Callithrix jacchus: one gene and its partners. The protein of the gene in region 1 purifies or fractionates together with the protein of each later gene. This does not show direct contact. Links are inferred from orthologs where the notes say so. Each region holds a gene or a part of one and is shown in the gene's direction. Other genes may lie near its edges. The genes, in order: TGFBR1, SMAD7 and SMURF1.

Evidence for each region.
Region 2: the proteins of TGFBR1 (region 1) and SMAD7 purify together in Homo sapiens (affinity purification with western blotting; 19 studies listed by BioGRID). This does not show direct contact. The link is inferred for Callithrix jacchus from reciprocal best matches to the Homo sapiens genes TGFBR1 and SMAD7.
Region 3: the proteins of TGFBR1 (region 1) and SMURF1 purify together in Homo sapiens (affinity purification with western blotting; 3 studies listed by BioGRID). This does not show direct contact. The link is inferred for Callithrix jacchus from reciprocal best matches to the Homo sapiens genes TGFBR1 and SMURF1.

The regions. Positions count from the first base shown.
Region 1 is NC_133502.1:147,219,807-147,229,929, forward strand, and holds the start of TGFBR1 (TGF-beta receptor type-1), read left to right. Parts: upstream 1-4,041; 5' UTR 4,042-4,129; coding exon 4,130-4,226; intron 4,227-10,123. UniProt on the Homo sapiens protein: Transmembrane serine/threonine kinase forming with the TGF-beta type II serine/threonine kinase receptor, TGFBR2, the non-promiscuous receptor for the TGF-beta cytokines TGFB1, TGFB2 and TGFB3.
Region 2 is NC_133514.1:92,051,520-92,061,642, reverse strand, and holds the start of SMAD7 (mothers against decapentaplegic homolog 7), read left to right. Parts: upstream 1-5,044; 5' UTR 5,045-5,381; coding exon 5,382-5,994; intron 5,995-6,389; exon of another isoform or gene 6,390-6,849; coding exon of another isoform or gene 6,850-6,928; intron 6,929-7,325; coding exon 7,326-7,379; intron 7,380-10,123. Other genes in the region: uncharacterized protein LOC118146891, read left to right, coding at 3,234-3,444, 3,564-4,345. UniProt on the Homo sapiens protein: Antagonist of signaling by TGF-beta (transforming growth factor) type 1 receptor superfamily members; has been shown to inhibit TGF-beta (Transforming growth factor) and activin signaling by associating with their receptors thus preventing SMAD2 access.
Region 3 is NC_133503.1:14,559,238-14,569,260, forward strand, and holds part of SMURF1 (E3 ubiquitin-protein ligase SMURF1), read left to right. Parts: intron 1-733; exon of another isoform or gene 734-2,116; coding exon 2,117-2,231; exon of another isoform or gene 2,232-2,281; intron 2,282-3,733; coding exon 3,734-3,912; intron 3,913-4,420; exon of another isoform or gene 4,421-5,330; coding exon 5,331-5,468; intron 5,469-6,632; coding exon 6,633-6,753; intron 6,754-8,103; coding exon 8,104-8,305; intron 8,306-10,023. UniProt on the Homo sapiens protein: E3 ubiquitin-protein ligase that acts as a negative regulator of BMP signaling pathway. Mediates ubiquitination and degradation of SMAD1 and SMAD5, 2 receptor-regulated SMADs specific for the BMP pathway.

The DNA.
Region 1 (10,123 bases):
CCATCACCCACCTTGGCCTCCCAAAGTGCTGAGATTACAAGCATGGGCCACCATGCCTGGTCCATTACAGTTCTAAACCTACGACTCCGGGGTCCTGCACACTTTCATTCATTATCTTGGACCTCTGAACTGTCATGTTAACAAGCTTAGGCTAGCCTGCTGGAGGGTGGAAAACAACATGGAGGAGCTGATCTAGCTCATTACCCTCTTCCACCCCCTTCCACCTGATGGCTGACTCACAGGTGAGCTCAGCTGAAATCAGCATAAATTGGCATAAACCTGAAAAACTCTCCAGCCTACCTACAGTCTCATGAAAAATGATCCATGGTTATCATTCTATGCCACTAAATTTTGAGGTGATTTGTTATTCAGTTAGGAGCACCAAGAATTGGCAATAGCTAATAATGGTATAAGTCAATAATATCTTGTAGGTTAGAAAATAAGACAGAAATAAAATATGCAACAACAAATAGGATGGGCAAATGAGTAGAATTGAAATGTTCTAAGGTGAATAAAAAAGAGATTTATTGGCCAGGCACAGTGGCTCATGCCTGTAAGGCGGGAGGATCACTTGAGGTCATCAGGAGTTCGAGACCAGCCTGACCAACATGGAGAAATCCCATCTCTACTAAAAGTACAAAACTAGCTGAGGGTGGTGGTGCATGCCTGTAATCCCAGCTACTTGGGAGACTGAGGCAGGAGAATTGCTTGACCCCAGGAAGTGGAGGTTGCATTGAGCTGAGATCACACCATTGCACTCCAGGCTGGGCAACAAGAGTGAAACTCTGCCTCAAAAAAAAAAAAAAAAAAAGAGGTTTATTTTTCTCATATAATAAGAAATAAGCATTATAGAGCTGGTGCAGCTGTTCAGGAAATTTATCAAAAACTTAGACTCTCTCCAGGTTTTCTCTCTACAGTCCTCAGTTTTGGCTATCACCCTTATGTTTACAAAGTGGCTGCTGTACCGCCAAGCATTGCAACCATGTTCCAGGCAGAGAGAATATGATGAATCTCTTTCCTTTTTTAACTGGGAAATATGTACAGGCTCCACCTTGTGGAAAGTAGACTTCTATTTCCATTTCACTGGGAATACTAGGTACAAGGAGCCTGGCAAATTCATACATATTTTTTTCTAGGTGAACTGCTTTCCCAGAGAAAATCAGGACTCTATTATAAAGCAAATGTAGGAATGGGTATAGTTTAGATGACTAGCAGTCTCTGCTGTCTATTTTGGCAAAAACATCTTACATAAGAGAATAATCCAAAAGGAAATGCAAACAATGTCCTTGGCATAAAGATTAAGAGACAACATTACATAGGGTACAAGGCACTGGAGTGAGACTCCTAGTACTAGCTCTGCAGCTGACTTGCTGGGGAACTGATCTAAGTTTCTCCATCTTTAAATCAAGATAATCAAGACATTGTAGTAGATAACAGGGAAGCCTTTTAAACAACAAGTAAGTCTGTAAAGACTGAAAGGAATTAACACTTATGATAGATTCCTTATGTGCAATAGCTCATTTAGACCTCACAACAATATCTCCCTTTACCCTGGAGATGCTAAATCTCAAGAGTGATCAAATAGTGTTCACAGACCCACAGCTACTGAGTGGCAGAGCCAGAATTTCAAGTAGGGTCTGCAGGCCTCCAAAGCCAGCGGCTTCTTTCCACTGCCCATCCAACCTTTCTCAAAAGGCAAATAAGGTCATGCATTTTTATTTACTGAATTTTAAGTATACCAGTCTTTTGAAGCTGGCCTAGTGCCACCTGCAACAGAATTAACTATGATGTCTATTACAAATGCAGATTCCTGAACCTTCTCCAGAAGAACTGAAGCAGAATTGCTAAGACCCAGTGAGACCCAAGAATCTGCATTATTAAAAGCTCTCCAGGTAATTTGGAGACACTTTACAATTTGGGAACCATGATTTTAAACTATTAATTTAGTGTTCCATTCTAGTGTAGTTTATTTATGGATCTGTTGTTCATGGAAATTTCCTCCTAGTATCAGGATGTTAAAATTTAAAAACCGGTCTGTTTTTCCTTTCTGTTGAATCTACTCAATTCCATGGAAAATGTTAAGGAACTGGAGGTGTGATTAACACTGATTAATCTAGGCTCTGTACGTCAAGGGCACAGACTAACATGAACACACATGCTGATTAGAATCATACGGAGCTGGAAGGGGATGGGCAAAGAAATGGCATTAACTAAATATTTACTATGTTCCAGACACTGTACCAGACACATTACATCATCTAAGGAGCCCAAGACAAGTGATTCAATCCCTTTCATTTATAAACGGGGTAGGTACTATTATTATTTACATTTTAGAGATGAGGAAGCTAAAGGCCAAAGAAAAACAGTCACTTTGAGATCATTCATTCATTCACACAATCAAAATCTCATTAGCTCTTATCTTATGCAAGACATTGCAAATAGAGCAGCAAAAAGGCAATCTAGAGACCTCTTGGCACAAAGCCCACCAAGTCTCCATTGAAGAAACTGGAACCGAGAGGGCAAATTGGGACTGGAGCCTGCCAGAAACCGTCTTTCTGGAATCCTTCAGTCTGAACAAGAGGGGAGTTCGCTGCTGAGGCTGCTGGCGCTGCAGTCTAGAGCAAGTTGCAGGCCTCTGAGCCTGCTGGAGACTCTGAAAGGTTAGCTGACTTTGCCGAAGTAGTGTCCCAGCCAGGAGGGAGAAAGCACGCAGGTCTCAGATCCCAGCTCCAATATCCACGTCCTTTCCCTTTTCATCTCCAGGAAGGAAACCTTCACAGGTGGGGAAAATGCTCACCCAGTGACTCTGAAGTAGTGCACAAGTTGACATTAGAGGCTGGTTCTGATTCCTGCTATCAAGGTTTATTTAATTCCAAGCTCAAATGACACAGGAAATAAAACTTTCTCCTTAAAAGGTTCTGAGGGAAAATATTCTCTGTTCTACGTAACAGCCTCCTTGGCTGTGTTTGTGTCTGAAGAAAGGACTAGTCTGACAGGAAGAATTACAAATCTGGAGCTCATTTTGGCGTCGCGGAGGAAAGGTGGGTGGAGCGTCTCGCAGTAAATTAGGAATTCGGAATGAAAACGTAGTTTATTTGGGTTTTTAGTGACACCTCAGGATTATTATACAGGAGTGTCAGACACAGCTCAAAGTAATGACTGCTCCCCCTCCACCCCGCGGGAGCTGGGTTCTAAGAAGGGGGAACCCCTCCTTTGAGGGGTTGGGGTGGGGACCCTCCCTTTCCAACCTGGATCAGGAAGGGGGATGAGGCGAGAGCGGCTTGGATCCCCATCCTGTGCCTGTTCCGGAGTGAGGCGGGAGGCTATTTGGGGGTGTGTTTGGGGTCAGGATCTGGGTCTGAGGCTGGGATCTGAGGACTTCCTAGGTTTGGAATTGGGTGGGGGAGCTAGGTTCGGGATGACCGCTCCAAGCATGAGGAAACAGGAGACTGAGTCGCATGTGAAGGGCGCGGAGGAAAGATCTTCGGGGGAATGCTGAAGTTGATGCGTGGACTTGGAGAGGGGAAGTTGAAGTGCATGCAGGGCCTGGCGCTGCAGCGGATCTGAGTGGCCTATGCAGGGATTGCCGGTGCGGAGCAGTGAATGGGGTCAGCGTGGGGCTGAAGCAGTACGAGATCTTCCGCGCCTAGAGGAGGTTAGAAGAAAAGAGAGTCGAGCGGCCACAGCCTTTTCCCGAAAGCGACTCACACAGACACACCCTTCGCTCTACCCGGCCCTCCGGGGCTAGCGGCTCGGCGGCGCTGGGTCTGGCCGATCCCGCCCCCACACCGCCTCGCGGAGCCGGGAGCAGCTCTGGCCGGGGCAGGGGTCTGGCGGCCCGTCCCCCGGGGAGCGTGGGGCGTGGCCAGAGGCCGGGGCGCGCGGCTCCGGATTGGCTGCCCGGTGGGCCCGCGGGCGGGGCTCGTGGCTGGGTCCCGCTCGGCCGCTCGCGGCGGCGGGGAGGCGGGGCCGGCGGGAGCCCGGCAGCCAATGGACGCACGTCCCCCGAGCAGTTACAAAGGGCCGAAGCGGGGCCGCCGCGGCGGCGGGGGAGGTGGGGCGAGGCGAGGTTTGCTGGGGTGAGGCGGCGGCCGGGCCGGGCCGGGCCACAGGCGGTGGCGGCGGGACCATGGAGGCGGCGGCCGCTGCTCCGCGTCCCCGACTGCTCCTCCTTGTGCTGGCGGCGGCAGCGGCGGCGGCGGCGCTGCTGCTCCCGGGGGCGACGGGTGAGCGGCAGCGCGGCGCGGCGGGCGGGCGGGCGACTGCGGGGCGCGCGGGCCGGGCCCGGCCTCCGGCTCGCTACTGCTCTTTCTCAAACATGGCGCGGGGCCGGGGGCGCAGGTGGCAGCGCCGGGGCCCGGACCGGGCTCTCGTGGCCCCAACCGGGCTCTCGTGGCCCCGAGCGGCTCGGTGGCAGCCGGGCGAACCGCAAGCGGGGAGCGGAGGCGGGGCAGGGGCGTGTGTCCGGGCACGGGTGAACGTGCCGGGCAGCCTGAGGCCGTCCGGCTCGGGACTCCCCCGGGGAGGTGGAGTCGGACGGAGTCGTCCGAGGGCCGGGGCTGCCCTGTGGGGTGTGCGTGGGTTAGGGCCAGGGGCGGAGGATGCGAGACGGGCGGGGACTGGCAGAGCGGTGGCTGCCGACCGCCGCCGCCCCCCAGGGAACGGCGTGGTCTTGGGGTCCCGGGCGGGTTTTGGGGTTGGGGGGAAGGCGGCTCCCGGGCGGGGTGTGAGCTCCGAGCCGCGAGGGCTTCCCGGGGTGGGAGTCGGGGGTCGACATGTGGTGAGACCCCCGGGTCTGCAAGCTGCCCTGACTCCCGCCCGGCCCGACCCTGCTGGAAGGGTCTGCTCCTTCAGCCAAGGGGGCTTTGTGTGAGAAGAAGGAAGCGTGGAGATGCGCGGAGTATTCCTTCTTTCGTGCGCCTGAGGAGTGTTGAAGTGAGTCCAGTAACCAGAAGGCTACGGATTGTTTTCGTAGTGGAAACTTGAACGTTTGCTCACTCTACAGGGTTTGGAAATTTGGGGAATGACTGTGAATTGATTCAACGCTTTTATTTCCTAGAAGGAACATCACTTGCGATGTTCCTTTTCTTGAGTGACAGTTAATAGTTTGAATGATACATCTGGTAGCTGGTTTTCAAGGAAGAATGTTCGCTGAGTTTTTCCAAGTATTAAATCAGGTCGGGGTAGGTGGTTGGCATCCACAAAGTGATGAGTGGAAAACTTTGTTAGCAGCTGAATTAAGACAGTAGAAACTAAAATCAGAGCCTCAGTCTTAGCAACTAAAATGCAGTGAAATTACATTTCTGTTTCTGAAACTGTACAAAAATGTTGAAAATTCTTTTAAAAATCAAGACTGAAGATGATGATTATAATTAGTCCTAATAGCCTCCGTCTATGTATTATGCATTACTATGATGTAAATGCATAAAGTACACTATTGGATACGTACATTATTTAATCACCACAACCAAACTCTCAGGACTTGTGGCATTTGCCCCACTTTAAAGATTTGAAAAGTGGGGTGCAGACCCCTGGGTCTGCTTAAGTATGCAGTCACTAAGTGCTAAAGCTAGAATTTTCACTCAGATCTCAGTTTCCAAAACCTGTACACACATATATATATAAATATGTATATACACACGCAAACATGTATACATCATACTACCTGGCATAGCCCATTTTTCTTCATCTGATGAGCAACTGGTCTTTATTATTCACTTTTAGATTCTGTCCTCATGATATGAATGTCAGATAGGCTTCATTCTGACTCTTAGCACATTCCTGAGTCCCTTCACGTGGGCCTGCATTAGAGGAAACAATGGATTTTTGACATTGGCCTAGGGAGGAAGGCAAGATAACTGTGTGGACAGATTGGGAGAATCAATATAGTTAGGGGGAAACATAGGTAACATTTCCACACCACTATTAACTTGAATAACATAGTGCCCTCTTTTCCACCAGAAGTAGCACAGGAAGTGTTCATGTATTCAAGTAACAGTAGGTGGACTTAGTTGGATACACAGAACATTGCTCAGTCCATGTCCTGGGGGAGTTTACAGTCTCTGTGGCATGTACACAGTACAAAGCTGTCCAGGTGCATATTACTCTAAGCCCAGACTGCCTCAGCTTCTCTGCCTTTCTTATTGGTTATGATGATGTCTCAGTCCACCCTTAAAATAACATTCTGAAAAAGGTCAAATGCTTTTTTTTCTCTCTGTAATTTTACTTCCCTTTTAAAAAGAGTGCAGTTTCTTATTTTCTGAGTATGTTTTATTGTTCTCTGCCCAACTTCTCTCCCCAACATAGATTTCTCTAGGAAAATTGATTCCTTGTCGCTAGTACACGGTTTAGTACCACTGTGTCTATATGAATATCCCTTGTGAGAATGCTGTTTGCTTCCTTTCTGCCATTTCATAACATTTTTTCTTTGGAAACATGCTCTAAATCCAACTCTTGTTTCTATTAATGCCTCTTGAATGTCTCCTCCTTTCTTGGTATGCAGCCTTCAGCTTAATCCTGCCTGTTATCCTCCAAATCTAGTTGCTTTCCCATGTTTCTCTCTTCTAAGCTTTTCTATGGGCTACTGCCAAACTAATCTTCCTCAGCCATCCCCATAAAGGTTTATATGATTTCCCATTTGTATTCAGCACTTAGAGAAACACTTCAGCAGCTTATGATTGGGGCCATCTCTGAGTATCCTACCAGGAATCTCACTTCTCATTACTGCAGACCTTCAAGCAATTTCTATTTCTCACTGACTCCTGACTGTTCAGCTTTTCACTACACATTTAATTTTGCCCCTTTTTTGGGAGTGTAAGAAGTTCTCAGTCCTGACTTCCTGTACTGGTTTAGTTCTTGAATTCTTTGTCTTCCAGAACTCTGCAACACTTACAGTTTGTGTTGTCCATTTCTACTGTCTGCACTGCAATTTAACTACACTTGAATATGTTGTAGATACCTAGAGGACGAGATTCATGCCATTTCTTTGCTTTATGGCCTCAGAACTTAGCACTGTGTTTTATATTCTATTCCACATAGATGCTTGTTGATTTCTATTTGAGCATTCCTTTAGTATTTATACTGTTTTATCTAAGTCCAGTTTATGCAATATTAACTTATAATTCTGTATAAATAATCAGGAAATATTGTGTGGTGTGGTGAAGGCAAGTGGTTATTAGTCCCACCTTCACCACCAGTTATGCAGAAAATAGGGGCAATACCTGCTTTTGCCTAATTCATGAGATTGTGAAGATCACATGAGAAAGTGGTATTTGAGTTTGAGGTTGCTATTCTGTATTGTTACTAATGATCAGGACTGATATTCAACAAGCAGTTCCCACTGGGCCATGTGTTTTTTGGTTAAACATCCTTTCTGGTTGGTTGGTACCCTTGTAGTGCCAGTTGTTAAATATTTTTAATGTCATCCCTGTAGGGAGGCATTAGTATTCAAAAAGGGAGATGATTAGTGTAGGCTGGAGTGATTGGGGGAGGCTTTCTGGACAGTTTAGGACTTAAGCTGACTTTGAAGGGTGGGTACAATTCAGAGGGGGATTTGATGAGTATGAAAGTTCTCTAAAAGTGTGTCTCCAACTGTACTGGGGCCCCCACTCCAAGGGAGGAAACAAAGCTTTTACTGACTGGCAAGTTACTCTTCAAAGTTAGGTTCCTTATTCTTTACTGTGGGATTTGGATGTATTAACCTCTATCATTTTTCCCCCCAATCCTAAAGGCTATAGTACATGGCTGGAAACAAAGCATAAAAGTAATCAAAGTGGAGTAAATGAGAGAGAATAACATTATAGGATGCCCACTAGGGCTAGGCATTCAGCTGGTGAAAGTCCTAAGTATATTGTCACTTCAATTTACAGATGAAAAAACTCAGATTAGGTGAATTTCTTAGGGTGACAAAGGGCAGAACAGAGACAGGAACTTTGATTTTCTGATTCCAAATCTTGTGCCCTATATTCTGCTTTAAAATGTGAAGGACATGGAGGTGGGCGTGGGACGAGGTTAATGGAGTGACTTACCTAAGTGAAATAGGCCTTGCACTTCACACAATTTATGAAAAGTGAATTCTAAAGGTAGAAGGGAAGGGGAGTGATTAAAGGCTAAAAGTCCTCAAGGGAAAGGTCAGGATTCTTTTTTTTTAATTGCTGATAAAAGGACCTGGTATAATACTGACTGAGAAACATAGGCCTATAGTAGTTTGGAAGGTAGTCTTGGATAAGTACTGTTAATTGAATTGGGTGTAATTAAAAGGCCTTGGTTTAGAATAATAGATGATCTGCTTTGTTATTGGAATTCAGTGAGGAATTGACATGATAAAAATGATCAAGAGGAAGATAAATCTTGTTCTTTATCTTTCAACAGGGGTCTTCCCCACAAGGAAAGGTTCTAGGCCTTAGTTGAAGAGTTACAAGGACTCAGCACCATTCTTATAGTATCATTTTATTGTATCAAATATGTTCATGTGTAATGAATTGAGTTTTGAAAATGCTGTTATCCTGTGGATGGCCCTTTTGATATGAAAATATGTCTCTTCAAACCACAGAGCCCCTTGCGAATGTTGACAAACCTCTTGCCTTTTGCTCTTCTTCCTTGGTCATGGCTTACATAATAGAGTTCTGAAGAGATGGACTGTGGTTTGATATCATGTGATTGGGTCACATCTTTGCTTCCTGCTTCTGGAACTGAGGGCAGATGCTGGCATGTTTCTCAGGGATTTTTGTAATGCTTTGTCCCGTAGAACTAAGCTGAGGAAATTTTTGGAGTCTTCTCAAAATGTATGGTCTGTTTTGACCCAGCCTAACTCCAATACTTAGGATAATATTTAATGCCATTCTTAACTGAATTTTCTGAACGTTAAATCCAGGCAGTCTCCATAAACATTAAAATTGTTTGCTTCTCTGAATTAGATCCAATTTTAGGTGTTTTGTTTGCTTTCCAGGTAGGTTTCTTGTGGCTACCCTTCTTCATCATGAAGAAGATTGGTAGGCTTGGAATTATTCACCTCAGACTTCACTTTCTTAAATACTAGTGGACTAAGTCTATTTGGTTTTATGGTCCAAATTTTATAGATCAGATCAAGCCTTTTCTAAAGCTGCTCCCTCAAGGAATGATTTCTAATCTAACTTAAAAAAAATTATGACTTGCAGAGAGTATACACACAGGTTGGTTTGAAATTTCTTGAAAGATTACAAGAGTGTGCTAGGCATTCTACCTGTCTTGTCTCATTTAATTATTTTCTCTCTCTTTTTTTTTCTTTGACCATGGCTAGTACACCATCATTTAATTCTCATAACCAACCTTGAATGGTAGTTGTATAGTGGTACCAAAACTTTGTATTTATTTGCTGGTTAATTTCCAAACTCTTAAGTCTATTTGTTCCTAGACACAGGTGACCAGAGCTCAGAAGTTGACTGTAGGTTTTGATAACATCGACTCTACCCCAAGATTCTTTTCAGCTCTCTTAAACATTATCCAAAGGTATTAGTATTTTGTTTTTCATCCTCTAATCATAAATACGTGTGTGAAAGGAAGACATTGCTTTGAATGGCACAGATGTAGACTAACAGTAATTCAACCACTGAGACTCAAATGATTTTTTATTATCATAAACCCCAACTGCCTGGGTAGGCAGAATAGACAGAATTTTGCTCAGATTGGAACCTAGTTCATATCTATGAAAGAAGACCCCCTTTGTTTCCACTTTATAAACCAGGAAACTGAAGTTATGCTGTTAATGAAAGGTAGAGCCTGCATTTGAGCACTCGGGTCTGTGCTCTTTTCCTGTACACATGCTCATCTACTTATGATGGGGCCATGTATGTCCATGCTGCTCTCATATAGAGTAAATACATTGTTAGAGCCACTTCAGAAAAGTTTTCTTTTCCTTTTTTGAAAACCATGAGAATTTGCTTCAGATTTCTTTATTCCACTTTTAGTCTTTCTTTGCAATTGCAGGCTATTCAGATACTGACAATCTTTCTTTGACATTGTATATTTGGATAATTTGAATCTCCCTGATGAGGCCAGTGGTAGTTGATCACTTACTATTTGTATTGATTATACATATATTCACAGCAAATTCTTTGCTTCTGTAAGTAACATAAACACAGAACTG
Region 2 (10,123 bases), on another chromosome or scaffold:
ATCCTCCCACCTCAGCCTCCCGAGTAGCTGGGACTACAGACATGCGCCACTGCATCCAGCCAATTGTTTCTTCTTTTGGCTTGTGCAAGAAAAAATATCTCTACCCCTGTCCTCACGCCCATCAACACACATCCATACATGCACTGGGGCCTCTCTCTGCCCTTCTCTTCTGGAAACTACTGAAAATGAGCAAATAACTGAAAGGTAGACTCCTCTCTTCTGTAGACAGGTGCTTTTCAGCTTTTACGTATCATTGTTTTGAGGTGTCAAGAGTTTTGGAGATTTTTTTCCCCTTTCTCCTTCTCTCTCAAGTCAGGCCCCTCCAGCAGCCCGCCTCTCACCTTGGAAGGTTTGGAGAATTCACCTGCTTTTTTGGCCACTTTCGGTCCACTCTGCTGCTCTCCTTCCTGGTGCATTCTGGAGTCCCCTGGCCGCTCAGAGACCATGGGCCTTGGAGCAGTTCCCTTGACTTCCTCTCTCCTCTGGATGCCTAACTAGCGGCTGGTCAAGAGGCGGCCGCACAGTCCTCTGGGCGGCAGGGGCCAGTGATTAAGTAGCCAGGTCTTTAGCTGATTCCATCCTTGTTTGTCATAACTCTGCTGCAAGTTATTTTGGTCTCTGTGACTTGTGGCAACACCGTGATTAGGGTTTGATTACTATCACCAAAGCGACTAAAAGATGAAAATAGAAGCCGCAACAGGAAATAAACAACTGCAAATGAGATATTTTATTCCATATTCCCTGCCAGCAAATGATTAGAATCAAACTCATTCACAATAGTTTGGTGAACTCCTAAACTTTTTTTCTGAAGGGTCAGAATAGTCTGAAACTGTGTATTTGTTGGCCTCCTTTGTGCCTGTGGAAGGAAAAGAAAGAAACTCCCTTTCTAGGCACACCAGCCAGCCTGGAGTCCCTCTACTGCCAGGCTTTCAGCTTCTTTCTTGGAATGGAGAGGGATAAGAATGTGACGGGTGGGGCTATCAGGAAGGTTGGGATGTTCACTGATTCACGGGATGCCAGAGAGCTATAAAGCAGCACCAATCATTTAGCTACTTGCTCAGCACCCCACCCACCTTCGACCTAGGGTAGCAAAATGGAAGAGGAAAGCCATGTAGAGAGGGGTGACACCTGAATTAATACACCTACAATTACACTATATGGGAACATAGCTCTGCAAGTACATGCATGTTCCACCCAGACAAACTGTGATGTCAGACTCCACTCCTGAAACACCCAGGAAACCTACCTGCCCTGTGTGTGCTCTGGTTTCTCATTACAGAGCCTTAGCACTGCTGGCCAGATCTCCAAAAGATTCTTCAGATTCTCCATTTAGCCAAGAAGCTTAATTAGAATTATGACCTCTGCTTTCTCTGCTTATTTAAGTCCTTCCTGTTTCGATGAAGCCTGGTCTGACCACTCTCAAAAAGTGAAGATCTTTTAGGGAGACCCAGAACAGAGAAGGAATGAGACCCTAAAGGGCAGGAAACTTACCCAGAAAACCTCATAAATGCTGCCAAGTGCTGGCCTAACGTGGGATCACTGTTGGCCCAAGTTGCTTAACCAGTGAGTGGCAACGCCCCAGCCTGGTATCAGGTTTTCTACCTCTAGTCTGGTACTCTTTCTAAGCCTTTCCAAGGTGAAAATATGATGCATTTCCCAGACACTTTAAAAATCCCATTTCTGTCTCTTCCATCTTCCCTTATCTATATAGCCATAGGATCACCCCCTTCTCCATTCTCTCCTGCGATTTCTTGGCTGTTGTCTTTACAGGGTGCTTCTTAGAATGTTTTATATACACACATAAGGTTTCCATGCCCTTTTCAACAAGCCATATTTTAATTTACAACAAAATTATGATGTTATACAATTGCGACTTATGTGGCCTTACACAGTAAATGTTCAGAACGGCAGCTTCTGTGCTGTCCAGCAGATTTCGGCACTGCTTGGCATGCTATCTTCCAAGTCAGTGTCAGGATCTCCTTGCCTGGGGATGATCATGTAAGCAATGTTGCTGATTTATTTGGTGGGGTGGAAGAAGGGTCCAAATGACCCTTAAGCCCTTAATGTTGATTTCTAAATATTTATTAAGTACTAATTGTTACTATGTTAAAAATCTTTTTAATTGCTGGAGGGGGGCGGGGTGTGGTGGTTCACGCAGGTAATCCCATCACTTTGGGAGGTCGAAGCAGGTGCATCACCTGAGGTCAGGAGTTGGAGACCAGCCTGACCAACATGGAGAAACCCCTTTGCTACCAAAAAATACAAAAATTAGCCGGGTGTGGTGGCGCGTACCTGTAGTCCCAGCCTCTGCGGAGGCTGAGGTGGGAGAATCGTTTGATCCCGGGAGGCGGAGGCTGCAGTGAGCCGAGACAGAGCCACTGCACTCTAGCCTGGGTAACAGAGTGAGACTCTTTAAAAAAAAAAAAAAAATTCTTGAAAACCCCCATGAGTTTCATTGCTGGCCTGATCTCACAATTCTCAATGGCTTTTTAAAAAAATCGTATTTTACAGAATATGAGGTGAGGTTAGATCACCATGCGAACTAGTGGTCTCATCAATACTGATGTGTATTTAAATCATTACGTTTCTCAGAACTATCAGCTTTCACGCTGCAAACGCGTTCATGCCCTAGCAATGCCATGCCCGTTTCTATGCAGTAACCCGCCAGCTTGGGTATATGTTTCTTAGAGACCTGGGGTCAAGGAATAAACTCTCTGACCCTAAGCATCTTGAAAGCTACGAGGCCCAGAAACAGGCCCTCCAAGCAAATAAATGCCCTAGGCAGGTCTGCTCGCTGGGTAACCTTCCCGCGCCGGGAGGCAGGGTGGCGGGTGGCGGAGGTCTTCCGGGCCCAGGGAGAAACCTGCCGCTGGCGCGCAGGAGAGCCCCCCTCCCGCTCCCCTTCTCCCGCCCCGCTTCTCCCGCCAGGATGCTGCCCCTCGCAGCTCGTCAGCCGGCCAAATGCATTCCAGAGCTGTGCACAAGACACACTTCTCCAGGCAGTCCTAGAAACCGGAGCCGGGAGAGGAGAGGGCGGGAGGGAGCGCGCGGCCGCCTCTGAGGTCATAATCGCGCTGCCTCCCCGCCCTCGGCGGCTGTTCCCTCCAGCGCACACTTCCCAGGGCCTCGGTCCAGTCCGGTATAAATGTCTTTTAAACCGAGACAGCGCTCTCCTCCCCTTGCCCTCCGACGCAGCCAAGGGATCCGCCGCCAGGGCCTTTAAAACAAAACCAATGAATGAAGCGCTTGGGCGAGCGCGCGCGAGATGGCCACCGCGAAGCCCCGCCAGGTCGAAATCCGGCCACCGACCCGCTCGCTCAGCTCCAAAACTCGCGGCGAAGCCCGCTCGGTGCTCCCTGCGTTTCCAATTTCTCCATGGCTCCGGCCGGAGCTCAGTAGATTCTGGGAGCTTCTCGGCCCCCCACCTCTCTCTCCTCTCCATCGGTACCCCGTCTACAGACCCGGGAGGGGGTGGCGGTGGCGGGGGGTTGGGGACGAAATAGCTTTTAGAAACCCGATCTGTTGTTTGCGAAACACAATCGTTTTTTTTTTTTTTTTTAAAGCGACAGGGTGTCTAGACGGCCACGTGACGAGGCCGGAGCCGGGCGCGCCACTGCGCAGTGGAACCAGCCGAGCAGAGGGCCGGAGGGGGGGGCGGGGGGGCGGGGGGGAGGAGGAGGCGGCGGCGGCGGCGGCTGGGGGCGGGGGAGGGAAGAGGGAGGAAGGGGGAGGGAAGGGGGCGGGGGCGGGAGGCCTTGCGGGAGGCGGCGAGCCCCGGGCACACTCGCTTGCTGCTCGGCGCACGGAAGAGCCTGTCCCCAAGCCGCGCCAGCCGAGCCAGCCGGGCGCCGTGCTCGGTCCGCTCGCCGCGCGGGAGAGAGCTGCCCGAGACAGAGCCAGCCCGTCGGCGCCGAGCCGCCGAGCGCCGGGCCCCAGAGCCCCTGAGTGCGGCGCGGCGAGCCCTTGGCGGCGGCAGAAGGACCCGAGCGCCAGGAGAGGGCGGACGGGGGACAAGGAGGCTCCCGGGCGCGACGAGGAGAGTCTCGGAGGAGGAGGCGCCGAGAGAACACCGGGGCCTCCTGCCGCCGCAGCTGGGTCGAGGCGAGCAGCCCACGCGGGGAGCCCCGGCGACCAACCGCGGCCAGGGGAAGGGACACCGGCGGCCCCCGCATTAGCAAGCAGCTTGTGCCCAGGGGGGCAAGAACGCGCTACCCGCCTGGGGCCCGCCGCCGCCGCCGCGCCGCCCTCCCCTGTGCTGTCAGCCCCACCGGGCTCAGCCGCCGCCGCAGCATCTTCTGTCCCTGCGCCCCCGCCAGCCTCGAGGAAGTCCCCGCTGAGGACCTGAGCCCCCAGGCGCGCAGGAGGGAAGACCAGAGACTCCCCTAAACCACCCAGATGCGCAGGATTGAATCGGTCTAGTCAAAGCTTTCTGTGGATTAAAAAAATACACGATTTTTTTTTTGTTTTTGGCAGAAGAAAAGGAGAGGAAGACCAGCGGGGCTCTGCAAGGAAAAAAGGGGGGTTGTAACTCGTGGATGCGTTTTCCCACCCCCCAAACATCTTGTTATACTTCGTAAACATTTTTTTTTTAAGCCCCAGCTCCAGCCGGACGCCCCCAGACCTCCAAGGTTCGAGGAGGTGGTGTTTTTCATTTGGGGCTTTGCATATTTTGGTTGTTAGGTTTTGAGAGAACCTTCTTATTTCGCCAGACGTCTCATGCGGGGTGAAGTCCACTCGGCCCCCTCCCCTCAGCCTTCGTGTGCACGAAATTCGAGGAGATCCGGTTACTAAGGATATAGAGGAAAAAAATAAATCGCGTGCTTGCTTTTTTTTTTTTTTAATTGCCTGCTTCTCCCCACCCCCAAATTAAGTTGCTTAGCAAGGGGGAAAGAGGCTTTTTCCTTCTTCCAGCAGCCCAGCCGAACGCCTTTCGTTTTTTGCCCCCGCGGATCTTCCATGTAGGAAGCCGAGGCTGGCGAGTCCGACATTCGGGAGCCACTGCGGGGGGGGCTGTTTTTGGGGAGGCGCCGACGGGGGCAGGCTCGGCCGTCCCCAGGGAAGCGGCGGCCGGGTTCCTCCGGGGCGCGCCGGGGCCCGAGAGCCGCGCAGGGCGCGGGCCGCGCGGGGTGGGGCAGCCGGAGCGCAGGCCCCCGATCCCCGGCGGGCGCCCCCGGGCCCCCGCGCGCGCCCCGGCCTCCGGGAGACTGGCGCATGCCACGGAGCGCCCCTCGGGCCGCCGCCGCTACTGCCCGGGCCCCTGCTGCTGCTGCTGTCGCCTGCGCCTGCTGCCCCAACTCGGCGCCCGACTTCTTCATGGTGTGCGGAGGTCATGTTCGCTCCTTAGCCGGCAAACGACTTTTCTCCTCGCCTCCTCGCCCCGCATGTTCAGGACCAAACGATCTGCGCTCGTCCGGCGTCTCTGGAGGAGCCGTGCGCCCGGCGGCGAGGACGAGGAGGAGGGCGCGGGGGGAGGCGGAGGAGGAGGCGAGCTGCGGGGAGAAGGGGCGACGGACAGTCGAGCTCATGGGGCTGGTGGCGGTGGCGCGGGCAGGGCTGGATGCTGCCTGGGCAAGGCGGTCCGAGGTGCCAAAGGTCACCACCATCCCCACCCCCCAGCCGCGGGCGCCGGCGCGGCCGGGGGCGCAGAGGCTGATCTGAAGGCGCTCACGCACTCGGTGCTCAAGAAACTGAAGGAGCGGCAGCTGGAGTTGCTGCTCCAGGCCGTGGAGTCCCGCGGCGGGACGCGCACCGCGTGCCTCCTGCTGCCTGGCCGACTGGACTGCAGGCTGGGCCCGGGGGCGCCCGCCAGCGCGCAGCCTGCGCAGCCGCCCTCGTCCTACTCGCTCCCCCTCCTGCTGTGCAAAGTGTTCAGGTGGCCGGATCTCAGGCATTCCTCGGAAGTCAAGAGGCTGTGTTGCTGTGAATCTTACGGGAAGATCAACCCCGAGCTGGTGTGCTGCAACCCCCATCACCTTAGCCGACTCTGCGAACTAGGTAAGAAGTTGCCCGGCCACCCCCAATATTTTCCAGCGCGCCAGTGCTGGAAGAAAAGCCCCTAGGGCAGTGCGTGTGCCGCCACCCCTTCAGGGGGAGTGTACAGCCCCTCCTGGGAGGAGACTTGGTGGGGAAAGTAGAGAAGGGACACGAGGAAACTCAAAGGGCATTCCCTGGGGGTTCCCTGTCAGGTTTTCTCCTGTGTTGCCCCGAAAGGGTCTGTGGGCACTGCTCCTGCACACAGTGTACCAGACGTGCGGTTAAAAATTAGACGCCTTCATTTCCGGATCAACAAGGGGGTGCAGAGGGAGGTGGGGGTCACGCCTCCCCGCACCCGGAAAGGCGTTAAGGTGTGTGGCCGAGTTGGATTTGGTCCAAGCCCGCCAAGGAAGGTTGGGAGAAGCGAGCTGTAAAGGCTGGAAGGACTCCGCTCCTTTAGTAAATACGGAGAATCACTCGAACACAAGTGGCTCAGATACTACTGTGGCCGTGCAGCCTTGGACTTTTGGGGCAAAGAGGGTTAGGATGGAAGGCCGAACTGGGTATCTCCTTTCAACTCTGCCAGTTCCAGGGTGCTGAGGAACAAACAGCCAGGAGAAGTTGGGTGTCCCCTACTTTTTCCTTTCTTCCGCACAGAGAAGTCTATAGATAGTCGGCCCCCGGCGCCTCGGTGACGTTGTCTCCGCTTATTGCGCTGGGGCCTGGACTTCTCGGCTGAGATCCTGAAACTCCTTCGCTTTTATCCTCTCTGCTTTGTCCGTTCCTTCCTTTGCTCTGTATTTCTGTACACGGAGTGTGTTGTGAGGGTTCACCCCGGGTGTCCGCAGATCCCCCAAGTTCACCAGCACGCTTGGGATGCATCTCCCTAGTGCGCTGGGAATGGGGAGCCCCCGTGTCCCCCGCGCGGGTGCCCAGAGGACCAGCGGGGGCAGAGGTGAATTGCACCCCTGGGGGCCGGGCTGGGGCGGGGAGCCGGTGTTGTTGGGAACTGGGGCTGGAGTCTGCGGACGAGGAGGGGGCACGGTCGCCCCCCGCCCTGTGAACTGTGAAGTGCGCGGCCCCGGCTGAGCCGGTGGTTTCCAGCCGGGCCAGCCGAGCGCGGCGGCGGCGGCCGCAGACGTGGAGGAGCGGAGAGCCGAGGCTGGCGCCAGGCGGCCTCTTTTGTTTATCTGACAGCTAAATATCAAGGCAATCACCGCCTTGCGGCCCTGCCTCCAACCCCCACAGCTAAGACAAACAGTTGGGCTAAAAGAATGCCTCTGTTATCATAAGTTTCTATCTCTTTTTCTCATGGCTGGGCCTTTATTTTTCTCTTGCTTTTTTAATTTCAGAGTCTCCCCCTCCTCCTTACTCCAGATACCCGATGGATTTTCTCAAACCAACTGGTGAGTAGCTGATTTTTAAAAAACCCTTCGGATCGAAGTTAGAAATAGAGCCTGTAGAACCTGGGCTTCTACGTGTAGGCAAAGGCCTGGGAAGGAAGGCGCTAGGCTTGCTTCAGGTCGGTTCTAGGTTTCCTCTGTTGGAAGTTTGGTGAATTTTCCTGTTGTGACTGGCTTTTTGTTTTGTTTTTTCTTTGCAAAGACCTTTTCTTGATATGCTTTACGTTTTGTTCCTTTTTCATGTATTTGCACTCTGTGGCTGGGGGACTCGGCTTTAACACGTGGATGCTTTTAGTTCAGAAAGAAGTATTTTGGGAACCAAATAGGACTGGTTGGTGGGGAAAGCTTGGAGACTTCGTGAGTGCCGGAGCATCTGGAAAGGGTGATTAGATGGATGGGAAGACATTTTTAAAAGGTGCAAAGAATACTTTGGTCTGGAGTAGACACTAGAACATTTCAGTAGAGGCTACAGCCAGTTAAAGAAGAGTGGGTTCCCCCTGCCCCAGTCACTTGCAAGTCACCCTCTCCCGGGGATTTCTCAGTATGCTCCGTAGGGACCATCAAAATTTTGAGCATAGCTCTGCCTGTCTGTTGCTTTGTCACTGGCTGGCATGGAGCCAGGGCAGCCCATTTGAGACTGGCACCAGCCCTGTTGTGGTTGTCTGCATTCAACTTCTGGCAGCAGCAGCACAGGTGTTCCTCCTCCGGACCTCACGGTGCTGGGGACAGGGTCAGCAAAATGAACTTGGGGGCGACAACAAGGATGAGCCCCAATTCCTGGCACTCCTTCTTACAGTAGGAGATAGATCTATTTGCTAAAAGTACAGGCTGTATGTAACCTTGGTTTTTGTGCCCTGTATACTGGTGCCTGTAAAAACATTAATACTTGGGACATTTTTATTTTGCCAAGGTTCTGGGAGAAGGAAAAGTGAAGGGTTGGGCACCATTTAGCTCCTGGAATTCTGCAGTTCCTTCCGCCTCATGTGTTTTGGCTGTTGGGCTTTTCCCCCCACTAATTAAAAGTTTTGCTGGGGCGTTGTCATAAATTAAATACTTTAATGAACGTGTAACCGAAGCCCATACTCTGCAGCCAACCCTCCTGGGACTCCACCAGCTCCCTCAAGTTGGGAAGGCGTTCCTGCTTGCCTGGTGCCCGTTCTAATAAGTGGCCCACAAAGCATGTGATATTTTGCTTTCGATTTACAAAACACCAGATAAATGGTTATTAATGAGGAGATACCCAGCTCTCTGTATTTGTAACAGAGGTTCACTGGAATTACCAAGCTCTGTTTTCCTAAAGACTGTAACTTGATTGGGTTTTGGCTGAAAGAGTTAAGAATTCTTTTTATTAAGTTAGTTTTCCAAGGGGCCACCTCTGACCTGTTTTTGTTTTTCCTTCCATATTTTTCAAATTTGGAGGTTTTCCTTAAAAGAGAGAGAACAGTGACCTTAGCCCCAGGGGTAAAGACCAGTGGGGGTAAATGTTCCCAGAAACCTCCAAAACGCATAGAAAAGAAAGGCCATGTTCCCTTTGGTTTCCTGCAAAGACACTGGGATAAATCTGTTCTCAGGATGTAAGCAGTCCTTCTGCCAGGCCCGGACCTCATTTTCGGGCGAGTGGAGTGATCTATTTATTCATTAGCAAGTGTTGACATTAGGTAGCAAAATGTGTGTAAACAGAGAAGCCACAGAGACAGGAATGTGCCATTTCCAAGGGGGAGAAAAGTTCTCCAGATCAGCCAATAGGAAGTGATTAACCTGTCGATCGGACACTAAGACAGCTGGTTACTCACCCAAAATGTTTTGTTGAAAATAGAACAAAAAAAGAAATGAGAAAAGGCGCCGTTGTGTAAGAATTTAGCATCAATAATAGACAAAGCCCCCTGGAGGGGAATTGTCCGGCCTCATTGGAGGACCGCCAGGTCTGGGGGTGGAACACACCCCCCTCCCACAGGTCTGAGGCTGGTTTTGCCAGCTGCTGTGGCCAGGGGCATTGAGGTCAGACCACAGATGGGCGCTGACCCAGGTTTTCATCCCTATCTGGCGTGTGGGATAATGTTTGGCCCAGGAATCTAGATGGACCATTTACATTCTTCAGTTTCTAAGTTCTAGGTTGAATTTTTGGTCTTGGGTTACTAGGTGAAACAGGCACAAAGTTTTACAGTGGACAGCTGTTAAAATCTTAACCAGTTGCACAATTAAAGGAATACGTCCTGTGAAGTCTCCATCTTGGAAAAAGGTGATGGGAATGGGGCTGGGTCCTGGTACCCCTGCACCCTTTGGAGATGCAGAGGCCTCAAAGCTGGAAGCTCCATTTTGCTGTAGTTGAAGGAAGCCACTCCACCCAGCCTCGGGGAGGTCTGGACTTGAGACACCTAAGTGCTGTGGTTTAACCAGCAGAGCCATCTTTGAAAGAGTGTTCATGTAACTGAACCTAGGGCAAGTCGGTTGTGACTTGTGGCTGTCAGAAGTCAAAAAGACACCCCCACCTTAGTATCCCACAAGAAATCAGAATTTGCTGTTTAAAACCAGATCTCGGGAATAGCTGTGTGGGTTCTGCGTCCAGTGTTCCATTGTATCTGATGGTCTGAAAGGTTTGAAGAATGGCTGGCCTTGGAGGTTGCTGGGTGAGCTCTTCGGGGACCCAGGTGGCCAGTGTCCATTGGCAGATCCAGCCTCCAAATCTAGGTTGTAAGTCTGGCATCTTGACCTGAGATCTGGCACTGCATTTGCCTCTTAACTCAGAT
Region 3 (10,023 bases), on another chromosome or scaffold:
CCAGAATAGCCCTGATTGTCACCACTGACTGACTTCCTGTAAAGCTGGAATTAAACTTTTAAACTCACTCTCTTCATCTGAAACTTAAGGGACATGTTCCTGAATTAGCACAGGAGGCAGCCTTGCTTTCCTCTCCACAGGGATTGCATCTGTGCATGTAAATTGCATGTAAATTACATTTGTGTTAAAGGAATTTTGCAAGATAAAATGTTGAAATTTTGGTCAAAATAATTCAAGAAATTGATATAAAAAACAGAATAGAATGATGAAAAGCTGCTATTTCATGTCCTGCCTCTTTTCACCTTCAAGACAATTGTGGGTGGTTTTGTCATTTTTTTTTTTTTTTTCTATGAGACAGGGTCTTGCTCTGTCGCCCAGGCTGGATACAGTGGCACAATCATAGCTCACTGCAGCCTCGACCTCCTAGGCTCAAGCAAGCCTCCCACCTCAGCCTCCCAAGTAGCTGGAACTACATGTGTGCACCACCATGCCTGGCTACTTTTATAAGTTTTTTTGTAGAGATGAGGTCTCACTATGTTGCCCAGGCTGGTCTCAAACTCCTGGGGTCAAGCCATCCTCCCATCTTGTCCTCCCAAAGTGCACTGCACAGGTGTGTGATGTTTCTCGTCTGCATCTTCCGAGAGACTCAAACTGCATGCAGTCGGGAACCCTGTCTTGTTCACAGCTGATCCCCAGTTCTTAGAACAGCACCTAACACATAGCAAACACTTACCTCTGTATATATGTACCAGATGAATGAATTTTACTTTTTGTTAATTTCTTTGCACATTTCCTTGCTTTGGTCGTTCTGAAATGCTTGTGACTTAGCCATCAGACTCCCTGGTTTGGTTTGGTAGGAGTTACCTTCCTTCTGCATTTTCCTTAGTTGTCCAGTCTTCTGTGTGGAGATAGGTCTTTGTGACGTCCCCTTGAACGGCATGATGCTGGAGTAGAAAGAGTTGAGAATCCCTGCTTTGCCACCTCCAGCTTGGTCTTGTAGTGTTATTTCACCACTGGAGTCTTCCTCCCATCTAAATGGGATCATGCCTATCTCAGAGAGGGTGGAGAGAAGTCAGTTGCATGTGGATTACACATGTGCAGGTGTGGATTCATTATCTGATCTGTGAGAGCCAGGCTACACTCATTTCCCCAGTGTTTAGTCCGCAGTCCTTCCTGTAGCCGCTCTCTCTTGCCTTTAGTTATTGCTTCCCTTACCACTTCCAGAGCAGAGCTGATTGTATCTACCTCGTCCATGGCGTTTGCTTGTATTGTAATCACTTCCTCTCTAGACAATTGCAGGTCTTTGTCTTTTTCAAAAAAGGTTCTTCTCAAATCTAAACTCCAAACTTTGGAATGAAAATTCAGCAGTGTTGCTTTGTAGTAATCGGAGTCTCATCTCTTCTGGCAGTTCCTTTCTGTTCTTCTGAGTGCAATACAGAACTGTTTTCATTTAATATTTTTTGTGTATTCTAGCAATTTTCTTGGACAGATTATCTGCATTTGTGCTTATCCTTCCCTGTGCTCTCTCATTTCTGTTTGAAAAGTCCAAATAAAATTTGGAGCTGCTATCTTAATGTGATCCATTGAAAAGGCGTTTTGAGTAGAATGAATAAAAGATTGTTTGCGTATCTGCCACAGGTGTTTGTCTAAGAGTTCCCCTGCTAGCTGGGCTTATCGCAACCTGAGTGTAGCCACTGAATCATACAATCTCTATTTAAAATGCTTTCTTTTTCTTTTTTTTTGCTTAACTGTTTTGAACTTTGGAGTTAAAAAAATAATAAAACGATGAAAACATTTAAAAAATTCAGAAAATAATAACTCGGGCCTGGTGTGATGGCTTACACCTGTAATCCCAGCATTTTGGGAGGCCAAAGTGGGTGGATCATTTGAGGTCAGGAGTTTGAGACCACCCTGGCCAACATGGTAAAACCCTGTCTCTATGAAAATACAGAAGTTAGCCAGGCCTGGTGGCACACGCCTGTACCTGGAAGGCAGAGGTTACAGTGAGCCGAGATCGCGCCACTGCACTCCAAACCTGGTGACAGAGTGAGACTGTCTCAGAAAAAAAAATCTAGAAATTTTAGCACATATAAAATGAATGAATGTTTTTTCCTAGGGAATGGCTTTATTTGTTGTGCCATGAAATGCTGAATCCATATTATGGGCTCTTCCAGTATTCCACAGACAATATTTACATGTTGCAAATAAATCCAGATTCTTCAATCAACCCCGTAAGTATGAATGAACAAAGGGGAAACTGGGTTGGAGAATTTTTGAGATGGAGTTTCAGTTTCATTCTCCGTTCTTGGTTTATTCATGTAGACTTAAAGGCGGTGGTAAGCAAAACATGGAAAGGTAAAGTGGAAACTGGATTAAGATGGATTTTGGTCCTGTATTTTCAGAGATTGTGATCACTGGGCATGTTGTGTTGAAGGAGATGAAGAGGGAGATCGAGCTGTTCATATACTCAGGACACTTCATGGTCACTGAGGAAACTCTGGTGTGATGACTGTATTTGTTAATGGTGGCATTCTAAGGAGTGGATGCTGAAGTCCAGTCTCCTCCTAGTCACAACTGGAATCTTTCCAGAACTGGCTTAAGCCACAAATGCCACCCTTAGCGTGCTTGTTTTAGAGATGAGGAAGTCAGCGTGGTGTTTGCACACTCCGCCTGAGGGTGGGCCACCGGCCAGGGGCAGACTCCTCCTGTGGCACGGCCTTCACCAGCGTCCTGCTCAGGCCACTGAGGCGAAGTTGGGACAGGCTCCCCTGTGCATTCAAATGTGGAAGAACCTTTTACCAACATGGAAGCAGAGTTTTCACTCATTTTCTGAGATGAACATAATTCAAACCTGAAAGCAGAGGCGTATGGTTCCTGAGTTAAAAACCAGACGGCTCTGGTTCTAGAATGGTTTTTTTTTTTGAGACGTAGTCTTGCTCTGTTAATCAGGCTGGAGTGCAGTGATGTGATCTCAGTTCACTGCAACCTCCGCCTTCCAGGTTCAAGCAATTCTCCCGCCTCAACCTCCCGAGTAGCTTGGATTACAGGCTTGTGCCACTGTACCCAGCTAGTTTTTGTATTTTTAGTGGAGATGGGGCTTTACCATGTTGGCCAGGCTGGTTTCAACCTCCTGATGTCAGGTGATCTGCCTGCCTCAGCCTCCCAAAGTGCTGGGATTACAGGCACGGGCAACCACGCCCAGCCTAGAATTGTTTATTTTACTTGGCTTATTCATACATATTTTCCTGTGGTCTTTTTGTTCCCCCTTCTTAGAATTTCTTCCCTCCCTCATTCCTTTCATTCTGGATCAAGGGAGGGGTGGTGGAAGAAGGGGGCTTGCCCTTGTCTTTCTTGTGCAGTGGGAGGGAATGCAGGGCTGGCTTCCTGGGCGTGCGTCCTGCAGGATGCCGCGGCCCTGCAGTGTCAAGGCCCCATGCTTGGTTTGATTCTGTTGTCACAAGGTGAAATGCTCAGTCGTTGCTGAACATGGGCTCTGCATTTTCATTTTGCACTGGACTGGGCTCCTCTGCAAGTTATATAGTCTGAGGAGGTATTGGCCCTGAAATTGTCCAGTGACTCTATGCAAATTCAGCTACACAAGCAGCCTTCTTTCACTTGCTCATGAGCCCGGCCTGTGAGTTCCTGAGTTGCCTCTGGGACACTCTTCCCAAGAAGACTCCCACATTGACCAGCGTTGTGCTGATGAATTTGTGTTTTCTGGTGCCCCCTACAGGACCACTTGTCTTACTTCCACTTTGTGGGGCGGATCATGGGGCTGGCCGTGTTTCATGGGCACTACATCAATGGGGGCTTCACAGTGCCCTTCTATAAGCAGCTCCTGGGAAAGCCCATCCAGCTCTCGGATCTGGAATCCGTGGACCCGGAGCTGCATAAGAGCCTGGTGTGGATCCTGTAAGTATTGACTGATGGTGCACGGTTACCTGGCGTGGGACATGCCACCACCTCTGTTGTCTGCATGCATGCGTGTGCGTTTGTGTATTTTGGGGATGGGTGTGAAATTGAAGAAGAGACACAAAGAAGCCATTGTATTAAATAACCTGAAACAAAAAAGAAGGTTCTTTGGGAGGCCAGAGTGGGCAGATTGCTTGAGCCCAGGAGTTTGAGACTGGGCCTGGGCAACGTCCTGAGACCCTACTACTACAATAAATACAAAAAAAAAACCACCCCACCAGATCTAGCCAAAGAAAAAAAACAAAAAACTCAGTTGCCTTATTTTCCTTGTGATGTTGGGCCGGCTTCTCTTCAGGGACTAGATTCTTTCATTTCCTTGAATTATGAAGGTAAGATCACGAACTTTAACAGACTACTCCCCAGGCTCGGGGTGTGTGTGACACTCACGGGAGTCTCCAGTTAACCTCACAGGAGCCAAGCCCATATCAAAACAAATTGAACATTTAGGTACCTCTGCTTTAGAATTATTCTAGACATTCTGTTAAGGGCAGCAGGCAATGACAAGATGAACTGTGTCACAGGTCTTGTGGATTTCGTGGGGATGAAAGATCAGGCTCTGCTCTGGCAGACAGAAGGAATGTGGATGAGTGGGAGTGGGGGCCTCCTAGTTGTATGTCCCATGTTCCAACGTGAAGAGGGGACCCCAGGGACCGGGTAGAAAATCTTCCACTCAGTATGTTGGCTCATTGCCTGTTATTAAGCACTTCACTTGAGATCAGGAGTTCGAGACCAGCCTGGCCAACATGGTGAAACCCCGTGTCTACTAAAAACACACAAACAAAGCCAGGTGTGACATGTGCCTGTAGTCCCAGCTCCTAAAAGGCTGAGGCAGGAGAACTTCTTGAACCCAGGAAGCAGGGGTTGCAGTGAGTTGAGATTGCACCACTGCACTCCAGCCTGGATGACAAAGTGAGTCTCTGTCTCAAAAAAAAACCAACAACAACAAAACTTCCAATCTGCCTATGGCAGATTCAGGAGCTAATTTTCACTTTTAAGTGCTTTTGCATTTGAACTGATGTGTTTGGAAAGGCTGGCTCTAAGGCGGGACTCGTATTTTCTTGGTGTGGCTTCATCTCCAGGTCAATTTCCTGCCTTCAGTGCTGCCCGCCTTCTGTGAGTGAGGAAGCCAGGAGTCGGGGACATCTGGAACCAGAACTGTGGTCTCCGGGTCCTCCAGCACCATTTGCGGTGCCGCCCCCATATGGGTTTCGTGTCCGCCTGCGGCTGTCCTCTCTTGCAGCCTGGGTCTGGGAGTCCTAAACGCCATCTCTCTGTCTACCCGATGGCCCTACTTGATGTTCCTTTCATTGGCACATGGTGGCTGAACTCTAACTGACGTCACCTTCTGTCTTCAACAGAGAGAATGACATCACACCGGTGCTGGACCACACCTTCTGCGTGGAACACAATGCCTTCGGGCGGATTCTTCAGCATGAACTGAAACCTAATGGCAGAAACGTGCCTGTCACAGAGGAGAACAAGAAAGAATATGTCAGGTAAGTCATCTGGGGGGCACAGCCAGTACCTGGGGCACGGATGAGTTTGCATTTAGTTGCTGTGGCTCATTCGCCGTGTGAGGCCTGCGTGTCCCTGATGGCTGGCACTTGTGATCAAATCATAGGAACAGAAGTGACTTTCAGAAACTGACAGCTCAGCAGCCACGTCAGGGATCTGCTTGGAGGGGTCCTGATGGGGCCAGGCCTGCCTGAGGGACAGAGCCCACGTGGGGAAGGACTTTCAAGTGACCACCTAATTCTGGGTGCAAAGTAGGGGGGCCAAGGAGAGAGCAGCTGCTTGGAGGGTCTTGTGGTCAGTCCGAGGAAGCCACCCTGTCAGTCTTTTCCACCTCTGAGTTGAGGCAAATCCATGTTCAGGCCTAGGCACTGGCGCTGAGAAGTGCGTGGGCGTGGCTGTGTGCCCAGTCGTCCTGAGCTGTCCTTTCAAATGCACTTATAAACATTATTAAATGTTTAACATTTGATACAGGGTCTTGCTGTGCTGCCAGGCTGGTCTCGGACCCCTGGCCTAAAGCGATCCTCTTGCTTTGGCCTCCCAAGGTGTGAGCCACCATGCCTGGCCAGAACGTGCTTTCAAATTACAGCAATTGATGTGACAAGTCAGGTGCAATCCTGCTGTTTTCAGTAGCGAACCAGAATGAATCAGGGCACGTGCTGAGTCATTTTTAACGTGATGCCAAGGTTTTGGCACTACTAGCTGGTGGGGATTTTGTGTCTTGGTGGGGAGATCTAGAGGGGGCCCCCAATATGTTCCCATGTTTGTCAGACTGTGATATCAGAACCTGCTCATGGGCTGGGTGTGGTGACTCATGCCTGTAATCTCAGCACTTTGGGAGGCCAAGGCAGGCAGATCACCTGAGGTCAGGAGCTCGAGACCAGCCTGGCCAACATGGTGAAACCCCATTTCTACTAAAAATACAAAAATTAGCCAGGCATAATGGCAGATGCCTGTAAGCCCAGCTACTAGGTAGGCTGAGGTAGAAGAACTGCTTAAACCCAGGAGGCAGAGGTTGCAGTGAGCCAGGATTGCACCACTGTACTCCAGCCTGGGCGAAGTGAGACCCTGTCTCAAACCAAAACAAAACCTGCCTATGGAGGAAAATCCACTTGGTGTTGCATCCAACTTGTGAGTTTTTCTTCCAGGTTGTATGTAAACTGGAGGTTTATGAGAGGAATTGAAGCCCAGTTCTTAGCTCTGCAGAAGGGGTTCAATGAACTCATCCCTCAACACTTGCTGAAGCCTTTTGACCAGAAGGAACTGGAGGTACGTGCCTGCTGTGTGGAGTCCACCCAGGGCGCTCAGGGGCTCCCCCTGTGGCTGGCATCGTCTGCCTGTTTTAAATCCTTGATGCAGGGTGTGGCATGCACTGTTTTCTAGAAAGCCCAGGAGCTGTTGGGGTTCCCAGAACAGTCAGCTGGAGCAACAGTGGGGAGTAGAGGGTGTTTACGTCAGTTGGTAACCAGTGAGATGTCTGCATGGTGGTTGGAAATCTGAATAATTCCCGGGACGCTGTTCAAGGTGGTTGTGGCTTCTCTCGTTTTCAGGATCTCTAGCAGGGAGATCACGCGGCCCTCTCCTTTCCTGGGAGAACCTGGTTCTCCCACAACTTACTGCCTTTTATTCGGGCTGTTACTAGACTAAGAACAAGGGGATACTGTCTCTCCAGTCCTACTCACGCGCTTGAACATAGTGACTCATTCATCCCTTACCATCTCTGGTGCGAAACAGCTCAAGCCTTGTAGATTGTTCTCCGAGTCTTTCTACTGCCAGTGAGGAGAGCCTGGGAGCCAAGAGCTTGGATGGGGCAGTAGTTCTGGGGTGAACTTTTGTGTCTTTTTTTTTTTTTTTTTAAAGACAGAGTCTTGCTCTGTTGCCCAGGCTGGAGTGCAGTGGTGCAATCATGGGTCACTGTAGCCTTGACCTCCCAGGCTGAAGCGATCCTACCACTGCAGTCCCCTGAGTAGCTGAGGCTATAGGTGCATGTCACCATGCTTGGCTAATTTTTGTATTTGTTGTAGAGAAAGGGTTTTGCCATGTTGCCCAAGCTGGCCTTGAACTCCTGGGCTCAAGCGATCCACCCAACTTCAGCCCCTACAAAGTGCTGGGAATATAGTGGCGTGAGCCACTGCACCCAGCAGGGGGTACTTTTAAGCAAGTTGCAGAAACGCGTCCCATCTACCCTAGCCCCACGTAACTCTTGCTGAATTCTCCTTTCTTCAGACTTGAAACTCCACATGTCCTTGAGTGTCCTGGAGAGACCCCGGGACATGCTCTTACTCATGGTTAGCTCTGTTCAGTGAACTGGGTGGTTCTTTGAGACTCACTCCTCACCGATGCAGAGCAGAAACCCTGCTTTGGTTATAAGATGATGCCCCATCAGTAGCTGTGCACCGTGGTCTTGGGGTTGGAGGAGGCAGAGGGAGGCATGTCCCACAGGTCTCCTGTTCGTTGCTTTCTTCCTGTCTCAACTACTGTCTAGTTTTTCTTTGGACACAGCCGCTGCTTTGTTTGGGAACCGACTTTTCACTTGTGTGTGTGTTGGGTACCTCGGAGGCGTGTCCTGACGTGGGTTTATACATTTTGGGAGTAACTCATCTTTCGGCACCTCCTCAGCTGATCATAGGCGGCCTGGATAAAATAGACCTGAACGACTGGAAGTCGAACACGCGGCTAAAGCACTGTGTGGCTGACAGCAACATCGTCCGGTGGTTCTGGCAAGCGGTGGAGACGTTTGATGAAGAAAGGAGGGCCAGGCTGTTGCAGTTTGTGACTGGGTCCACGCGAGTCCCGCTCCAAGGCTTCAAGGCTTTGCAAGGTGACTGATGGGGAGGCGGGGCTATTTGATATACGTCTCTGCGGGCTGTGGGCAGGAAGAGTGAAGGTGGCTGGGATGTTTTTCCGAGATGTGTGCTAGAACACAGCATAAGGAGTGTTCTCCAGTAATGAATGCTCTGCGCTGCAGAGGTGGCCACCTGGCAGGGGCCGTGTGTAAGCAAAGACTGCAGAGCCACTCTCGGGCACGGGGGTTCCCCCTCTTCACTGCTTCCAAAAAGCCAAGAGGGTCTGGCCAGCAGGGGTCTTTGAAGTGTTTGGGAGGCCTTGCACTTTCCAACTCTGTGAGCCCAGCTTAGCCAAGACCCTGGATAAGGAGCTGTGGGGGAACCACCCCAGTCTCAGTGGCTCCGAAGCTTGACGCTGCACATGAACCCCTACTTAGCCACAACACACCGAAAGGTGCCGTGATGCTCCCTCTGCGTAAGCCACTCAGGTTGCTGGAAGTGGGGGGCGGAATTCAGTGGCGGAGGTGCCGATCTCCCTGCAGGTCATCTTTTACACTTAACGGCTTGGGGGGGATGCTGCTGGAAGGAGTGAGGTGAAGGGTGTCACCGTACTGAAATTTAGCTGGACTGTAAATGCTGATAGACATACAGACACACTGTGAAGACAGAATATTCCGTCTGAATTGCTGGCTCAAAGGAGGTCATCAGGGCACCTGCCTCTTTTCCATCATGACCTCCGCCTATGGATTTGCTGCCAGGGGCCCAGCATGAATAAAAAGGGGTTGGAGGCTGAGACCCGCTTGTATCTGGGAGCCTCCATCTGCTTGACCAGCTTGACCATGACAGCTGCTCCCAGAGCTTGGAGCCTGTTATTTACAAAGCCTTTTTCCTTCAGTTCTCCCAACAACAACCCGGAGAGCCTGGTTGAGCGGGGATTAGCCCCATTCCATGGAAGAGGAAGCTGTGACTCACTGAGGTCACGGGATTTATTTTCCCTCCAATGGGGAAAAAGAAACATGGAAGGTGTGAGCGGTGTGCCAGGGCAGGAATCCAGGCTTGGTGACCATGCCACCATCGTCTTGCCCGTAGCAGGCCCACGTGCTAAACTTTCCTGCTTAGAGAGAATCTCTGTCATTATAAGGGTCTCATCAGTCCCCTAATCAGGTGGACTTTAGGCCAGTGTCCCTGAAGTGTCTAGAAGGTGGGTCAGAGGTGACCAGGGCTCACCTGACAGGGTCACAGTCCAGTACCAGAGTGCTGGTGCTGAGAGAAGGGAATGACTGGTAGCAGGGCCAGGCAGAGTGGCCAGGGCCCTGCAGGAGGTCTCTGAGGCCCTCACTGGGGCATGTCTGGTCCAGCCTGTCCTGACTCCCCAGGAGATCAGGGTGGGAGGGTGTGGACTGTGAGGGAGAGGAGCTAGCTTCCTGCCCCAGGTTCCCCAGGAACCAGGGGGGTGCATTCCAAGACCCTCTGCCCAACATAAAGATGGGATCTCCACTTGTCCTCAACTCTCCTGGATTCCTGTCCTAACACTGACCCTAGCCCAGTCTGAAATGAAAATCTGTGAATATACAGGAGCAAGGGCAGCAAAGCCCAGGCCAGTGGCCTCTGTGCCCCTTCTCAGTGCCGGCAGCCCTGTCAGCTAGCGGTCTTTGTGCTGGCCTGCCTGGTACTCATCTGGGGCTGAGTTTGGGGAGACCTGAGCAAGGAGGGGCCTGGTGCCTCTCCCTGCTCTACAGAATTGGTGAGCCAA